Oreochromis niloticus: one gene and its partner. The protein of the gene in region 1 purifies or fractionates together with the protein of each later gene. This does not show direct contact. Links are inferred from orthologs where the notes say so. Each region holds a gene or a part of one and is shown in the gene's direction. Other genes may lie near its edges.

Evidence for each region.
Region 2: the proteins of pdhb (region 1) and pdhx purify together in Homo sapiens (affinity purification with mass spectrometry; 4 studies listed by BioGRID and IntAct, counting the BioPlex papers as one, with this or other methods). This does not show direct contact. The link is inferred for Oreochromis niloticus from reciprocal best matches to the Homo sapiens genes PDHB and PDHX.

The regions. Positions count from the first base shown.
Region 1 is NC_031970.2:12,961,788-12,969,596, reverse strand, and holds the start of pdhb (pyruvate dehydrogenase E1 component subunit beta, mitochondrial), read left to right. Parts: upstream 1-4,342; 5' UTR 4,343-4,424; coding exon 4,425-4,463; intron 4,464-4,547; coding exon 4,548-4,607; intron 4,608-5,553; coding exon 5,554-5,661; intron 5,662-5,757; coding exon 5,758-5,820; intron 5,821-5,921; coding exon 5,922-5,957; intron 5,958-6,431; coding exon 6,432-6,622; intron 6,623-6,706; coding exon 6,707-6,801; intron 6,802-7,809. UniProt on the Homo sapiens protein: The pyruvate dehydrogenase complex catalyzes the overall conversion of pyruvate to acetyl-CoA and CO(2), and thereby links the glycolytic pathway to the tricarboxylic cycle.
Region 2 is NC_031972.2:58,427,296-58,435,656, forward strand, and holds the start of pdhx (pyruvate dehydrogenase protein X component, mitochondrial), read left to right. Parts: upstream 1-5,001; 5' UTR 5,002-5,041; coding exon 5,042-5,177; intron 5,178-7,529; coding exon 7,530-7,613; intron 7,614-8,361.

The DNA.
Region 1 (7,809 bases):
TGTCTTTTCTGGTTACTTTGTCCTTAAGAGGCAGACACCGGATAAAAAGCGGGAAACTGAATCGGGTGAGCTTTTCTTCTGGCCGATCTGCGGACAGCCAGTTGACTTAATTTTTGTTCTTTGTGCTCGTAAAAGTAGCACTTAAAAATGTGTGAGAGGAAATTGTGGAGCAACCATGGATTCCTGACCCCTGCTCGATGGTGAAGTTGCATTTTGTGGATTTAGGACTCATTTCAGTACTTCGATGGTGTCAGAGTGCTGCACCAGTCCTGAGTATGGAGTAGACCAAACTTTCCTTCTTTTAAATTATCTCCGACTTTTTGACATGTAGCCTGCAGGCTCTGCTGAGCCAGTTTCCTCACAACTGAGCTGCAAAACACACCAACTGGTCGTCTCTGTCTTTAATTAACTCGCTGTCATGCCGTGTATTAAATTAAAACAAAATACCAATGCAGTGCAAGGTGTTCAAGAAAAAGTCATCTTCCTGGATTGAGAGTTTGAAAGCAGAAAAAACGTTTATTTGCATCTTATTGATCTGTAGATATTTTTTGGTTGAGTATCAAACATCACATTGAAATTACAGACAGAAATGACTGTTTGTTGCAGCACAAAACAGTGGAGGTTTAACCGACGCTCTGCTCATTGGTCTGTTTCTCTGCATTGCATTTCCCCCAGTTGTCTCCACAGTTCTTCAGACTGTACCCCTCTCTCTCACGAGCTCTATAAGCATGAAACAATCCCAGTTTAGATTGATTCTGAACATCTTTATCTCCTTTTTTTCCTTCTTTTGGACCAAACGGGCGCAATATTTTGCACGAGGCAGAGCACATAACGAAGAGCAGCTAAATGAATAGGAAGCTACAAACTACACTACTTGTGTTTTCATCCAGCTGTTTGTTTGTGCACATTTATTTGATGATGGCATGAGGGGGCAATGACAAGTTTGGGAGAAATAACCCCCCAGAAAAAAGAGGTGGGTCAAAGTATAATGGAGGGAGATGCGATGTACCGTGTTTAATAAATTTATTAGACCACCTGTTATTTAAAAAAAAAAACATTAGATCAGAGTTATATCATTATTTCTGAGGCAAACTGAATTCATCACTTTACAGCCAAATGTGAGCCGGCACTCTGGACAGAAATAAATCAATCAACATTCAACCACAAGATTTTCTGCTCAGAAATGCATGTAAATGACTCTAATTTGGCGTCTTAGTCAAAATATATCATGCTTTCATTTTTTCCTTGTAAAACAGTAAATTTAAAAATTCATGGATAACAAAAATAACTATATTTTAGCATTAGAAATATTTTGATTCAAAAGCTTGCACATTCTGCTACACAAATGAATAAAAGAACAAATTTGTTAATTACCAATACTGATTACTTATGCAGCTGTGGCATAAACCTTATGTTGAGAGGTGGACTAATAAATTTAGGCACTGTGCATGAAGCAAGTGTGGAGCACTGAAGAAATAAGGTTTTGATGGTGTGCGTCCTAGCTCCTTTTACTCACAGTTGATGAAAACAGTTTCCCAGAATTCTCCTTAGCTCTGCACTACAGTTGGATTAAAGGGAAATGAACAATAACATTAATTTTCTCACCTGGTATCCTCACAGTCTCTCATTCTAGTGCAGCATGAATTTAAAATCAGCCGCCTGCTGTTGAGGTTTATGGTAGATCATCACGTCTGTACTGCCCCGCATCAGAGCAACTTGGATGCATGGCAATGAGCAGCTCTGCTTCCGATTGTGCTCAGGGTCTGAAATTAATCTCGCATCACATTTTTCTCCTGACCTCAAGTAAATCCTCAATTTTTTTTTCCTGATTTTATTTTGGTCCATCAGTCTCTTCACATCACTGACCAGGGTCCAGATCATTTCTAATAATCCTTCCATCCACAAGTAAACTACAGATAATGCGTTGCCGTCAACATTACTCTGTACTTCTGGGAATAGTTAACCTAATGCCACAAACCATGTAAGGAAGTTTGATTGAACCAAGGCTTCAGATGATCTGTAACCGGTTTATTATTGTCCCGAGTGTATTTGGGAAGATTATTCTTGTTCATATAACTGTTTCTTTCCAAGCATGCAGTGCTGTGTAACATTAAACACAAATAACATTCAGCACTGAAATTTTGTGGATGAAGTGCAGCCCCAGAGAGCTCAGCTCGCCTTCAGGATTAACTTCAGACCCTGATTTCTGATTTTGATTCTTTTTAATGTTTGTTTTTTCCTCTGTTTTAATGTTTGTGTCCAGACTTTTGTTTGTTGTTATTGTGCCATACCCATTTGGGTGATAGTGCCTAAAGAAATCTGAATGTTTTTTGTTATTGTACATGAGCTCATCGTTTTGTTTGTGGTAGTATGCCAACGCTTCAGCATGTGGCTTAGAGTGGTTAGCAATTAACAATAGTCCACATGTCTGTAAAATTATCAGAGTAAAACTTTGTAAATCTGCAACAGAAAACACAACAGGTGAATAATTATAACTTTAAATTACATGCAACTTTTACAGCTGTCACCACAGGGCAGCCAGGACCCACTGTGTGCAACAGAAACTATGACCACCTGTGGTGATTTATTCCTCATCACCCAACTTGTGTGCTGAAGCGTTGGTGGCTGAATCTGGAGCTCAGGTGAATCCTGTAACCTAAAGACTCTTTAAAAACCAAGTTTTTAGCCCTTCGATGACAGCTCAGTGCTCAAATCATTTACTTTCATCATTCAGTGCAATCAGCCTAGCATGAATGCTCATTACGTTTAACCAGAATGTGTCTCTGCAGCACTTTAGAGGGGTGGAAGCCCGGTCCACGGGGATGTTTGTTAATAAAAAATAATCCAAGGCAGCAAATTCTCTCTAATCTCCTGAGGAGTGTATTAATGCAGCTGCAAGAGGACCCCCTCATCATCAGCAAACGTGAAATAGATTTGGCTGCTGTGATAAATAATACTTGTATCAAATGAATAAACATTTGGGGAAAAAAGCAGTTTCCTGTTTATTTTCACGTTTTCTTATAGTTGTGATGAACAGGGGAAGATGGAAAAGGCAGGATGTGACATCTTATATGGAAGCTTATCAAAAGTTAAAAGGTTTGCTCAGGGAGGGATATTTACAGGTAACTAAAAGATAAGTGATGAGGTTGCACAGGTGGAAGCATAAAGAGTAGTGGTGTAGACACAGCTGCCTGACAAAGAAGAGTTCCGTGAAGGCAGACGAAGGGTAGGTTTTATATCTTTGGGCTCTGCCCGCATCATGAAAAGTGGCGAGAGTGAGACAAGAAGAAAGAAGCCATGGCAACAGGCATTGACCAAAATGAGGCATCCATCCCTCTGTGACACTGACACAGCTACATCATCAACTGTTTTGTTACGAGGAGCTATGTTACAACTATTGACTCTATGGTCTCAGGTGTAACAGTGTTAATTGCATTTTTTTATATTTATGGTCACTTTTAATTTAATTCACAGCGGGACACAATGTTCAAGGTGAAATGAACTCAAGGTTGGATTATTTTAATGTTTGATTATTTTAACGTTGCTTAAAGCATCTTCCTCCTACCTTTATTTGTATGACCCAGGTGTGGCCACACCTCTTCTATACCTGAAGCTAAAAAGACTTGTGCAAAGCATACACCTTTGCATCTCTTAGATATAGTCTCCTGTCTCCACTCAGCATAGAAATTAGTACTGAGACTGATTTTGATGTCGGAGGACAGAAAACATCAAATAAACATGCACATATATATGACTTCTATTTGCTATTACGTGATGTGTACGTGACAAATAAAAGGTTCTTGAGTCTTGAATCTTAAAACAAGCACTAATTTGATAAATACCAGTAAAGTTAACCTTCAATACATAATCATATATGTCATACATAATCATACAATCATACATAATGTGTGTGTGTGTTATAAATGTTACAAGTGCAACTCATGTTTTCACTTATTTTCTATGATGATATGTGGTAAACTGACAGTACCATTAGAGCTTGATCAGAATGAGGATTGGAAACATATTTCTTAATGGATATGAAAAAGTTTGGAAATTAAACTTGCAGACTTACAAAAGTGCCATTGTCCATTGCCAACTAGAATGTGTGTAGCATATGAAATAATGTCAAAGTGCACAGATTAAATTAAAAAAAAATAATGAATGAAAAAGGAGTGAATCGCACTACTTATTTATTTATGCATCTATGTATGTTTTGCCTTCCACACATGACGCCTGCGCGGCTCCGTGTCCTTGGATATTTTTACGCCCATTTCCTACTCTCCCGCCTCCTTATTTGTTGACCGCTGTGATTGGCTGTTCGAAATGACACGTTCCAATCAACCTATGAGGTGCCATCTTGATTGGCTAAAATTCGCCAGCTTCCACTATCACGTCACTCTAGTTCGACAGAGGACAGGTTCAAGATGGCAGCGTCCCTGAGGTGCTTTCTCCGCTCCGGAAAGGTATAGATTAAATCGATGTTTTTAAAGCAGTGTTTGGTCTTTCTTGGAATGTAATGTTTGTGCTCTCGCTCTGTTCTCCTGCAGAATACCGTGTCAGCTCTGCAGCGGCGGGATTTTCACAGGAGCGCTCCGGCCGCAGTACAGGTCAGTGTTAGCAACTAGCAGGCTAGCTGTTTCTACAGCGAATGATATCGGTAAATATAGTTTTGATTGCACAGACAACAATAATAGGCTGAAGATTGGATGGGGGCTTGTTTTAATCAGCAGCTGCCTGTTTTAAATACGTGTGTTAAGGTTTAGGGGTCGTGCGGTTGTGCGGTCACTGAGCAGAGGGATGCGGGTTTACATCACATCAGCCCTCATCGCGCTGACAGCTGTCTCACATTAACGTAAATCACTGTCAGGAGTTTGAGGGGAAAACTATTAAAACAAAGCTTAAGCTCTGAAACAGTGCAGACAACAAAATGCACACTTTTTAAGCAGAACAGCAAGAAAAATCCTGGAATTTGGAGTATTTTAAACTCCAAAACGAGAAGTGCTGCTGGAATACACATGCAACATCTCGAAGTGTCTTTAAATATTGTAGCTGCATCTGGGGTTGCTCGTGTATTTTAAGCAATTCCTTAATATAATTGGCAGGAGGATAAAATTAATCAAGGCATTTTCACCGAAGTACAAACTGCATCTTTCGCTTGTCATTAAGAGACTGTAAATGGAAGATGGTTGTGATATTGTGACATCAGACTGTGCACTCTAGGGCGGAGTAATGGACAGGTTTAAGGTCAGAGCACTGGTTTTAAGTGGCCATTAAATTGGTGACAAAACTAAACAGATGTAAATAATTTCTACTTGTGTTGGATACAAGTAACTACCAAGAATGACTTTCAGCTTTTGAGTTCTGAACTAAAACCTTCAGTCTTCTGATAGCCACTTGAGACTAAAGTCTCCGGAAATTGTTTACAGCCCTATATGAAACAGGTTTTGGATGGAAACTTGCTATTGTTGCGTCCATAAGTTAAAAATTTAACTTCAGTATGTGGAAGCCAGTGTTTTCTGTGACGTGTACTGATTGTTTTGTTGCCAATGTTAGATGACAGTCCGTGATGCCCTGAACCAGGCAATGGATGAGGAGTTGGAGAGGGATGAGCGGGTGTTCCTGCTGGGTGAGGAAGTCGCCCAGTATGACGGTGCTTACAAGGTAAGTTTAAAGCTCAGATTGCGAGTGAAGTTCCTGGAGGCAGTTTGTGTTCTGTCCCAATGAGGGCAGTCAGACTAATGGTGGTTACTGGTGCAGGTGAGCAGAGGGCTGTGGAAGAAGTATGGAGACAAACGAATCATTGACACTCCAATCTCAGAGGTGAGCTCCAAACGACCTGCCCTACAGATGTTTTCCACAAATCTAAGTATCACCACTGGTGGTGTTGGACTCATTTTAGTAACGTTTTGTTTTTGGTGCAGATGGGGTTTACTGGCATTGCAGTAGGAGCTGCTATGGTAAGTCTGACCTGTTCCTGATGGGATGGGACTATATTAAACTGACTTTAGTTTGTAACATTTTTACTTGAGTCTGTCTAAAACATCATTCTAAACCCTGAATAATCTTGAGTCCATTACCTGAGATAATGGGCTTAAGTTTAAGAGCTTCATAATTACACTTGAATTCTAAGCAGTAATTCAGTTCTGTGCACACTTTGCTCTCTACAGACCTGAATTATGGCTCCATTGCCCACCAAATTAGCTTTACACCTCAAGACCAATGAAGCAGTACACAGGCAACTCCCAAGCCACTTTGACTTGTATAATAAAGCACTTTTCCTACCTTGAAGCCATAAATGCCAAAATAAGAGTTCCTTTAGACTAGAATTCTTCAAAGTACAGATTATGAAAGCTCTTCAGATTCAAACTACCCTATTATACTTGAAACTTGCAATCGACAAATTCCCTAACAAGATCAATGTCCTCTTGCAGGCTGGTCTGAGACCCATCTGTGAGTTCATGACCTTTAACTTCTCCATGCAAGCCATTGACCAGATCATCAATTCTGCAGCAAAGACCTATTACATGTCAGCTGGGCTACAGTCAGTTCCAATCGTTTTCAGAGGCCCTAATGGAGCGTCAGCAGGCGTCGCTGCACAGCATTCACAGTGCTTTGCTGCATGGTGGGTTCAAGACGTCACGTTACTGTTTGCAGTAACTAGCTGATGTTTGGCAGGTCTGACATCAGTGTGGTCATTTGTCTCCAGGTATGGTCACTGTCCAGGACTGAAGGTTGTAAGTCCATGGAACTCAGAAGATGCTAAAGGCCTCCTGAAATCAGCCATCAGAGATGAAAATCCTGGTGAGATGCCACACTGAAAAGCTTAAAACATGGATGTAACCCTGCATATCAATGTTCAGGCACTGCTAGCTCCAGTTGATTACATCAGTGTTTAATTAAATAAGCCAGCTTGTCCCTAATGTGTCTCAGCCAATAGTCAAACAGTAATTCAAGCATTGTTGGACTGCAACTGACTAGTTCTTGTTCTGGGGTCTGTTCTTCGTACCTCGCTAAGTAAGTAGCTGGATTTGATTGTTGACGATTTCGCGTGATCTTGGATCGTTCGGTTCTCCGAAGCTCATCCGGGACTTGCTGTCATAGCAACAGATTCGTAAGCGTAAACCTGCTTGGGAGTAGGCTTACTTTATGTAAACAGGATTAGATCGCGGCCACTCAGGTATGTACACTTCATTTATACGAAAGCAACAGCGATATTTCTCCACTGTTTTTTTCCATAAATAAATATTATCAATGTAACTAAAGATAATGCAGTATTTGATTCCTTTATTGATTTCATACAGATACATACAGGTCATTTCCTAAAAAAGGGAACTGTACTATTAATCATGCTATTTCATGTATTTGATTATTTCAGATGTAATTCATATTTTAGAGTAGTAATAGTAGATTACTTCGTGTAATCAAGATGAGAGACTGTTAAGAGATTTTTTTTTTTTTTTTTTTTTAAGCGGCGTGGTCTCCTGACAGAGACCACGGCTATAAAAGCGAAGGTGGATTTGGGAAGTCTGTCGCAGCCATGTCCTGTCCGTTTGTACCCATTGCAGAAGGTGCAAGATTGATAAGGAGAGTTTTCAGAATTCAGCAGATATTGCGGGATAGACAGGATCCTTTAGCTCAGCGCGACAGTGTGATCATAGAGAGAGCGATTTTTCCCGTGTGGGTATTATTTACTTAACACTCTCACTCTCTCTCGTGTGTGTGTGCGCGCCAACTTACTGTGCATGCTTCAGTCACCTCTTGCATGGGAACAGGTAAAAGTGATGGAGTGTTATGTAAAACTACACACAA
Region 2 (8,361 bases), on another chromosome or scaffold:
AAAAAGAAACAATAATAAGAAAAAATAATAAGGCCAAAGCACAGCACTGAAATACCAGAATACATAAACTGGTGATGAACTAGAAATATTTACAACGTAACAATATGGTTTGTACTATTTCATACTTTGCATCAATTGAACTGTCCAGAAAGTGTGTAAATGTTTGTTGATATTACAAATAAAGCTTGTAACTGTTTTTATTTTATGAAACTCTTTATTTTCCTGAATTCCGTGTGTACAATCTGAATGTAAATTAAGAAACTGAAATCCGTCCATCCATTTTTTTAACTGCTTATTCAATTCAGGGTGTCAGGGACTGGAGCCGGTCCCAGCTGTCATTAGGCGAGAGCAGATACTCTGGACAAGCACACTCGCATTCACACCTACGGCCAATTTAGAATCACCAGCTAACGAGCATGTCTTTGGACTGCGGTAGGGAAGCCAGAGTGAACCCGAGCAAGCACAGGGAGAACATTCAAATTCCAAATATAAAAGCCCCAGGACCTGAGACTGAATTCAAGAATTTTAGTTGTATGAATCAGCATTGGACATTTACATGTAAATCAGCATTTGGCTTCAGTCTAATATGCAAACTGCAGCTATTCTTGCCCAAACTTGAACAATATTGATGAGCTACAGAGTGCTGTTTAGATCCACAAGTGAAAGCCTTGTTTCCACTAAATCTGTTACAAGCTTGACTCTGAAAAGCCATGCACTTAAAGATAGTGCTGGTAGTTACTGCTTTATCATGACAGTGTGAAATGCCACACAGTTAATTGTTTGCCACTGTGTGCCGTAGCTGCCAAGCTGGTTCCTGCAGGCAGCAGACAAATGAGAGGGCCTTGATGGCCAGCAAGATAAAGGTAGTGCCAGTAAAAGACTGCCTTCTTTGGCTTGCATTTGCAAGCAAATCCATGGCTAATCTTAACTTTGATTAATCTGGCTTTTGCAAGCCTTCTTTACATATTGATGACTGACACCACGTTCAGTCGTTATCTTTTGCACTTTCGCACTGTGCTGCACTGCATTGTTTTCAGTTTAGTCACTATTCTGTCTTATGCGTATGCGTCATAAGGCAATAACTGCATGCTGTAGACTGAAAGACAATACATGTCCTGTTCTTAAAGTATAATTGTCAATAGCTTGTGATCAGAACTGATGGAATGTATGAAGGATAAACAGAACACTCCTTATTGGTGAAAAAACATATCTGAGTAGAGGCGTTTCAAGGATGGGTGAATGAATTGATGTAAAGTGGTACAAACAGAATCTTCCTGATTGGACTGAAATAATTGCTAGTGATTGTCGTATTGTTGTATTACATGAAGTAATGTAATTCAAAATGAAGTGTTTCTTCATCAAATCCCATTGTTTGTTTTTAGAGTTATTATCAAGAAATCACACTCTATAGTTTCTCTGGAGCTGCTTTTGTTATGATCCATACATACATTTGAAATGTATACAAAATCAAACGTAGTTGTATTTAAGGCTCGATGTATACAAAGTTACAGATTGTACATGACCCTTAAATAGTGAAAGGAAAATGGAAAATGTCAACTATAGTTAAAAAAAAAGTATCAAATCAAGTGTCAAAATCAGTTAACTGAATTTTTTTTTAAAGCAGCTTTGTGTCATAACATCCGTTGTGAACTTCCTAAAATTTACTTCTCACAAATAAGACACATAATTAATGAAGAAAGAAATGATAATGAAATTAATCTGTGCTGTTTATGTGACAAGAAAATTTCAAAATTGACTAACAAAACTAATGCTCTGGATACTCATGGCGAAAGATGCAACTGTCAAGCAAACACCAAGGCAGATATTGAATTGTGTATTATGTAACCATTACTGCATTTGCCCGTGATACCATACCAGTAAGTGGTTTAAGGCAAATTAAGGCTCATTGCACATGAACGCTGATATACTGTATTACAAAGAGATGAATTGGGAAATTAATGAATGTAATGACCAGAAGCACAGGAATACATCAACAGCTCACATTTAGCCTTAGTTTGACTTTGTAATAATATTAAGCACATTATATCACTGCTGTGAGCTGTGATAAGACAAGACTTTGATGTGAGTCACTGAAGATGATTGAGCAGTTATGCAAATGTTAGACTCACGTAACCTCTGCAGACAAGAGCATGATTTTCCTAACAGACCACTGCCCAGTGATCACAAATCGTAGCTTTACATACTTCTGATACTGTGACACGAATAGTGCTGTATGTGACCGAATGGCTCCCAGAAGCAAGCTGCACGTATGACAAGACACCATATCTGACAAATTCAAGAGAGCACCGTTAAACCAGCGTGACATGTATTTACAGGACTTGGTTCTAAGTCATCGAGTGCTGGTAACGAAAGCATTCATGCAAACATGCGCCCAAACCGGTTGTAACAGATCTGGGAAGGAAGAAAAAAACACATTTGCACCTGAGGAGATATTTAATCCATGTGCCTCACTTTAGCACTTTGAATTCTTGTGTGAGTTTTTTGTTTGTTTTTTTGTTTTTTTTTACAGACATGCTATTATAATAAGAACAGTCCAGACAATTGTCTAGGAAGATGACAACAAAATCTACATGGGGTGGAATTATCTAGTGGTCTCCTTGTTCTGATTTATTAGACAATGGCTGCCTTTGTTTGGCCAAAAAGCATATGCAATACCTCCCCACAAGTACCTTTATCTCTTATAGTTACAAAATGATTTTCTGATTTGAATAAACCAAGCAAAGGGTATTTTATTATTTAAAAGGGAGAGCATTAATTCAATCAGATAGATTCAAGAGGAAGAACAGGGAAGTGATAAAAGATAGCCTAAGCATGGGCATGAAGACAGCAAGATGTGATTTTATGTCTGCATCCCATGCCAATAAGTGGGGCTATTGTGTTCTCTCAGTGGATACACTGGCTCAGCTTATCTGGGCCCCTTATCATTTTTGTCTCATACTCAAATGGACCTGTGAGGCGTCCAACCCAACACTGTGAGTTGGAAAGATTAGTGCTGTGTCACTGATGCAGCTTTGCTTTTTGGGGGTAGGGGCAGGTCTATCTAACAGTTTATTACCCATTACAAAATGACACACTAGATCATAGTCTTATGATAAGGAAGGAAAGTAGCATTTAAACTACTTGTGAAGAAGGAAGAGTGAAGAAATTAAGTATTTTGGTTTTTCTTCTGCATTTGCATTAAACAAAAACTAATTCTGAAATGACCTTTGTTCATATTTTTTGCTGTAACCAAAAACATGAGGAAGTATTCATGAAAATGCACAAATTATTTGTTTCCAGTATGTAACGAAGCCAATATCCTTTGTAGATTTTGGAGTTCCCATTAATGTTTATTTCCTTGTCTGCATTTGGCCATTAATTGAAGCTGTAATTTCCTTGTGTCAACCAAAAAAAAAATAGGTAGAATTTCAGTGTCAAGTCTACATTTTTTTGCAAAAAACATGAAGGTTAAACGCATTAGTATTATATTTGAAATGTGTGATAATGTTTTTTGGCGTGAAATAAAACACAAAGTTCATTATTTCTGCTGTTATTTAAAATAGTTAAATAACTGTTTTATTGAGTAAAGTCACAAGATTTCCTAAACCCAAACACAATGCTCATTTTTCTTGGTTTGACTGAATTTCCCTTATCCTCAGTGAAAACAAAGTTCAAAAATAATTTGAACATCAAAATATTAAAAGCATATAAACCAGCTCTACCACTGTTGCAAAACCAAAGCAGCTAAATAAAACCATCCACCATTACCTCTGTTATTTATATTTCTTGTTAAAATCTCATGAAAATAAAGACTGCAGGATCAAATGTTCACACTGGTATGTTTTTTTCCCAGAATAGTCATGATACTGTCTTGGACACAGTTCGCTACCAGCAGCACAACTGAGATTGATGACAGATGACGATAAAGTTCAGGATAGATATGACATTTACTCATTTTCTGGGCTTGTTTTGTTTTCAGACAGGTAGCATTTTACTAAAAATCTATTGTTGTCAAAAAGTTGCAAAGTAATAAACTCTGGTGTCTTCATACATTTTTCTATTCAGTCAAAACTGTGTGAGAAATAAATAAATATACTAAATAGATCAATCCTAGGCTATATAATATTTGTGCAACAGTTTTTTGTTTGTTTGTTTTTTATGTAATTTGCCTGTTGAGCCAAAAAAGATCTTGCCTGACAGCAAGATCTTTCCTGGTTCCAAAAGTGCTGCATGCATGTTCTCACTGTGTCTATGTGGGTTATCTCTTCCTCCCACAATCCAAAGACATGCATGTTAGGCTGTGATACACTGAGCTCTCCAGCGTGTACCCCACCTTTTTCCCTTTGACAGCTGGGATAGGCCCCAGTCCCCCTTCAACCCTGAATGAATAAGCAGAATAAAAATGGATAAAGAAACATTTTGAATTAAATGTCGTTGGTAATATGTGTGCAATTTACAATGCATTTATTACAAACATTTTTGTCTAAAAGTCTCTGAGTTACAGAGAGAAATACTAAACCAACGACACACTCTTCCATAATGAAAACACTTGTTTTATAGATGAATTAATAAATAGTTTTGTTGTGGTAACGGGAATGAATTTGTTCTTCTCACAGCCTGGCTCTGCGTACATATCTTTCCTCTTCGATGTAGTACTAACAACAACAACAGTTTCAGCATGAGCATCGACCCTTTTCATCCTTTAACAAATTACCTTCACAGCAGAGGGCAGTAGTTCACTGAGTCTATTTAAAAGCGACAAAACTACATTGTAAAAGCACTTGAAGGACCAATATAGGTAGGACTCTTGTTGCCTGCTCGTTAATGTCAACACGAGCTTATAATACATTTATCACCGGGGTAATTTTTTTCATTGGTCCAGTGTTTGTGTTTGAACATTTTTCTGTGCTTCATGTTTTTCTTTTAAAAATACAGATTTTATGGTAGAAAACGGCTCTGTCTTTCTTCACCCCACCCCCCTCCTTGTTTTTTTGTCGTCAGGCATCTGTATGGACACGTCTCGGCGACGGAGGACGATAACATGGCGGCCTCCTTGCGTTTGGGTCGTCAGGGAATGTTATTTGGCCTCAGACTGAATAATTTTAATAAATGTTTAAGGTCGACACACCAATGGCAAGACCAAGTCAGACACTTCTTTCGGTCGCCATGGGTACTCGGTAAGTGTTGACAGTTTACCAGGTAAATGGCTGTTGCCCTTTCTGTGCTGACAATCGCTGGCATTTGCAATCGTCACTACCCTTTAATGGTGCAACGTTACTTTGCTCTCGTTTTGTCATGGCATGACAGATAGCAGCAGTGTTGGTAAATGAGAGGGTTGGCATGAGTGTTAAACGAAAAGTGTGATGGTTATTTTTTGCAGTTAACTGTATGGAAATCTGCTAATACCGCTTTCTAAATCACTTGGATTATCTTGCATCCCTCCAACCAGTCCTATTTCTCTCCCTGTAAGCCAACTTCCCTCATCAAAGCTGTGTCACGTTTGTAGCAGTACCATTAAATCTTAAAAAAAGAATATTAGCTCCAAAAAGTTCTAACAGTGAAGCGGCAAGGAGGAGAAAGAGTGAAGGTAGATGAATTTAAATACGTAAGGTCAAACATCCAAAACAATAAACAGTGCAAAAGAGAGGTGAAGATAGTGTAGACAGGGTGCAGATGAGTGTCAGATGTGATTTGTGATAGTAGAATGAGTGAAAGGGAAGGTTTACATGATGGCAGCCAGACCTGCTGTGATCTAAGGTCTGGAGACAGTGACACTGACTAAAAGACAGGAGACAGAGTTGGAGATGCTAAGATTTCCATTGGGAGTGAAAAGAATGGACAAAATTAACACTGAGTATATCAGAGGGAGAGCTCAAATTGAACGTTTTGACAAAGTTAGAGGCGAGGCTGAGATGGTTTGGATATATTCAGAGAAAAGATAATGGATATGCTGGGCAAAAGGTATTGAATGTGGAGCTGCTTGGCAGGAGGAAAAGAGGAAAGACCACAGAGGATGTAGTGGAGAAGATACAGACGGTTGGTGTGACAAAATCGGACGTTGGGGATAGGGTGCTATGGAGGCTGATCTGTTGCCATGACTCTTAAAGGGTTCCAAATGTGGTATATCAGAACTTTATTTAAAGGCAGCTTATTGCGAAACCTTAAACTAGCTCTTTCATGATGATGTTGTTTTAGGGCACTGGCACTTCACTATTTGCAGATTTGAAGAGATGCACTGAAGCTGTTCTGGTGGAACTTGTTGTGCCCATGATATGCCCATGATTCCCACGCTTAATTACATTTTTGTTTTCCCATTGTGACATGTAAACATGTCAGTGATGAAAATAAAATATTCAGTCCCAAATTCACTGTGAGCATATGGATTTCATATGGAAAGTTACACAGATGTCATTCTTTGACAGTGAATCTCATCCAGAAATAAATCTTTAAGCATGAAGAAGATAAAATATAAACAGACAGATTTTCTGTTTTTGAGTACTGAAGCAACACGTATGACATATAAATACACAACTCTTTACACATTGAAGTTTTGCACCACTGCCAAACATACAGCAGGTGGCAGCAGCTCACAGTTTGGCTCAAGACCACGCAACATGAAACAAAGGCCATGTAACACCCTCAATAAAAACTAACATACCAAAAATTTGAATCATCGAATCCCCAAATAATTTCATTTTTTATTTTACATTACATGTATATGACTTTAATCAGTTTAAGTTGACTAACTCGACTGCCTGAGTTTTATTATGTAAGATTAATTTAAAGTGTGGAGTCAAATGGAAAGGTTTTTTTTTTTTTTAACTTTTAGTTTTTGGTTTTCTTTTACCTGTTTGGGTTAATCTTGTATTCTGCTAACAGAAGCTTTTTTAAAAAAAATATATGCATAAAAAATATCATGCATAAAAAAATTCTATTATAAATGACTGTAATATGTGTGTAGTTCAGTGAACATAAAGAATGTGTAAAATAAAGGGCTATGCATTTTAAGTTGTACGGTGTTTGAGCTCTAAACCTTATTTTTGTTGCTTTCAGCTTTACTACCATATGTAGTAAAGCCGTGATCTTGGATGTATGTTTTCTTCTGGCAGCCTGAAGCTCTAGTGTGAACTGTGGCCTTCTGTGTGACTACAGATGGTGACAGTTGGGGACCACAATGATACAAATGCCTCTGCAGCTTCTGGTGCGGTGTCATCCAGGAGCACAGTTGTATAAGTGACATGGCAGCATTTTCATGGTACTGCTGTCTCTTGTGCTCTGCTGCAAGTTGAACATACTGACCCCCAAGGGCTTTGTTCGAGCTATTCAGTGTTACTTCTGAGCTTGTTACTTGATGCATTTTGACATTCACATATTTTAGATGAAATTGCAAAACCTTACTGGAAGGGCTAATTTTTTTTCTCTTCTGAAAGAAGGGGGGTGGGTGGGGAGGTGTTTTAAATTTAAACTAATGAAACCCTTGACATTATGTGTCGTCGTAAATCATATGTTATTTTCTTTCTCTCCTCTAGGTGTCAGTCCACTCAAAGTGCAGATGCCCGCACTCTCTCCTACCATGGAGCAGGGAAACATAGTCAAATGGCTGAAGAAGGAAGGTAAAGAAAGCACATGTTGACAAAAGACTTTATTAGAAAATTTAACAGACACTCATCACACATTTGTACTGAGCTTCTTTGACAGATTTTAAACCTCTGTGCGTTTTAATGTGTTATCCAAAGGGACAGATGCTTCACTTTTCTTGTACTTGTAATATCCTCCCCTGTAGTGCTTTTGTAAATTGAATGCTCAGTTGGTTTCCAAATATATTCAGTTCTTAAAGTAAGAGAGGGAGGCCTGAGAAATGGGTCACCTGAGGGCCTCTGGTGGCTAATTGGCTCAAGGACCATGGCAGTCATTATCAGTCACTGTTTAGCAACTCTGCATAGCCAGGATCCTTAGCCACACACTCATTTATCAAGAGGCCAGATGCTGAATTCTGATTGGCTTCTCTGCTGTGTTGCTATGTGCTGTGACTTGACGTTAGATGTGAGTTTGTTTGTGTGTGAGTGAGTAAGAAAGGTGGAAAAAAACAGATGAATTATTTAAGAAAAATATATCTACAATACTACAGCTGCTTGAACTCATATTTGAACAGGATCTATCTGAAAGGGTCAAATGAATCCTTTATCATTTTTTTCAGCAAAACATTGAAACAATAGTGAAAAGGTTCATTTTAGGAGAATTTATTTTTACAGGTATTCTTGAGTGAGCCATAGCATTAAAACCATGTCTAATATATTTATTACAGTAGTGTGCAGAAATCACACTGATGTAGACGTCTCCAAAAACGTATTCTCAGACTTT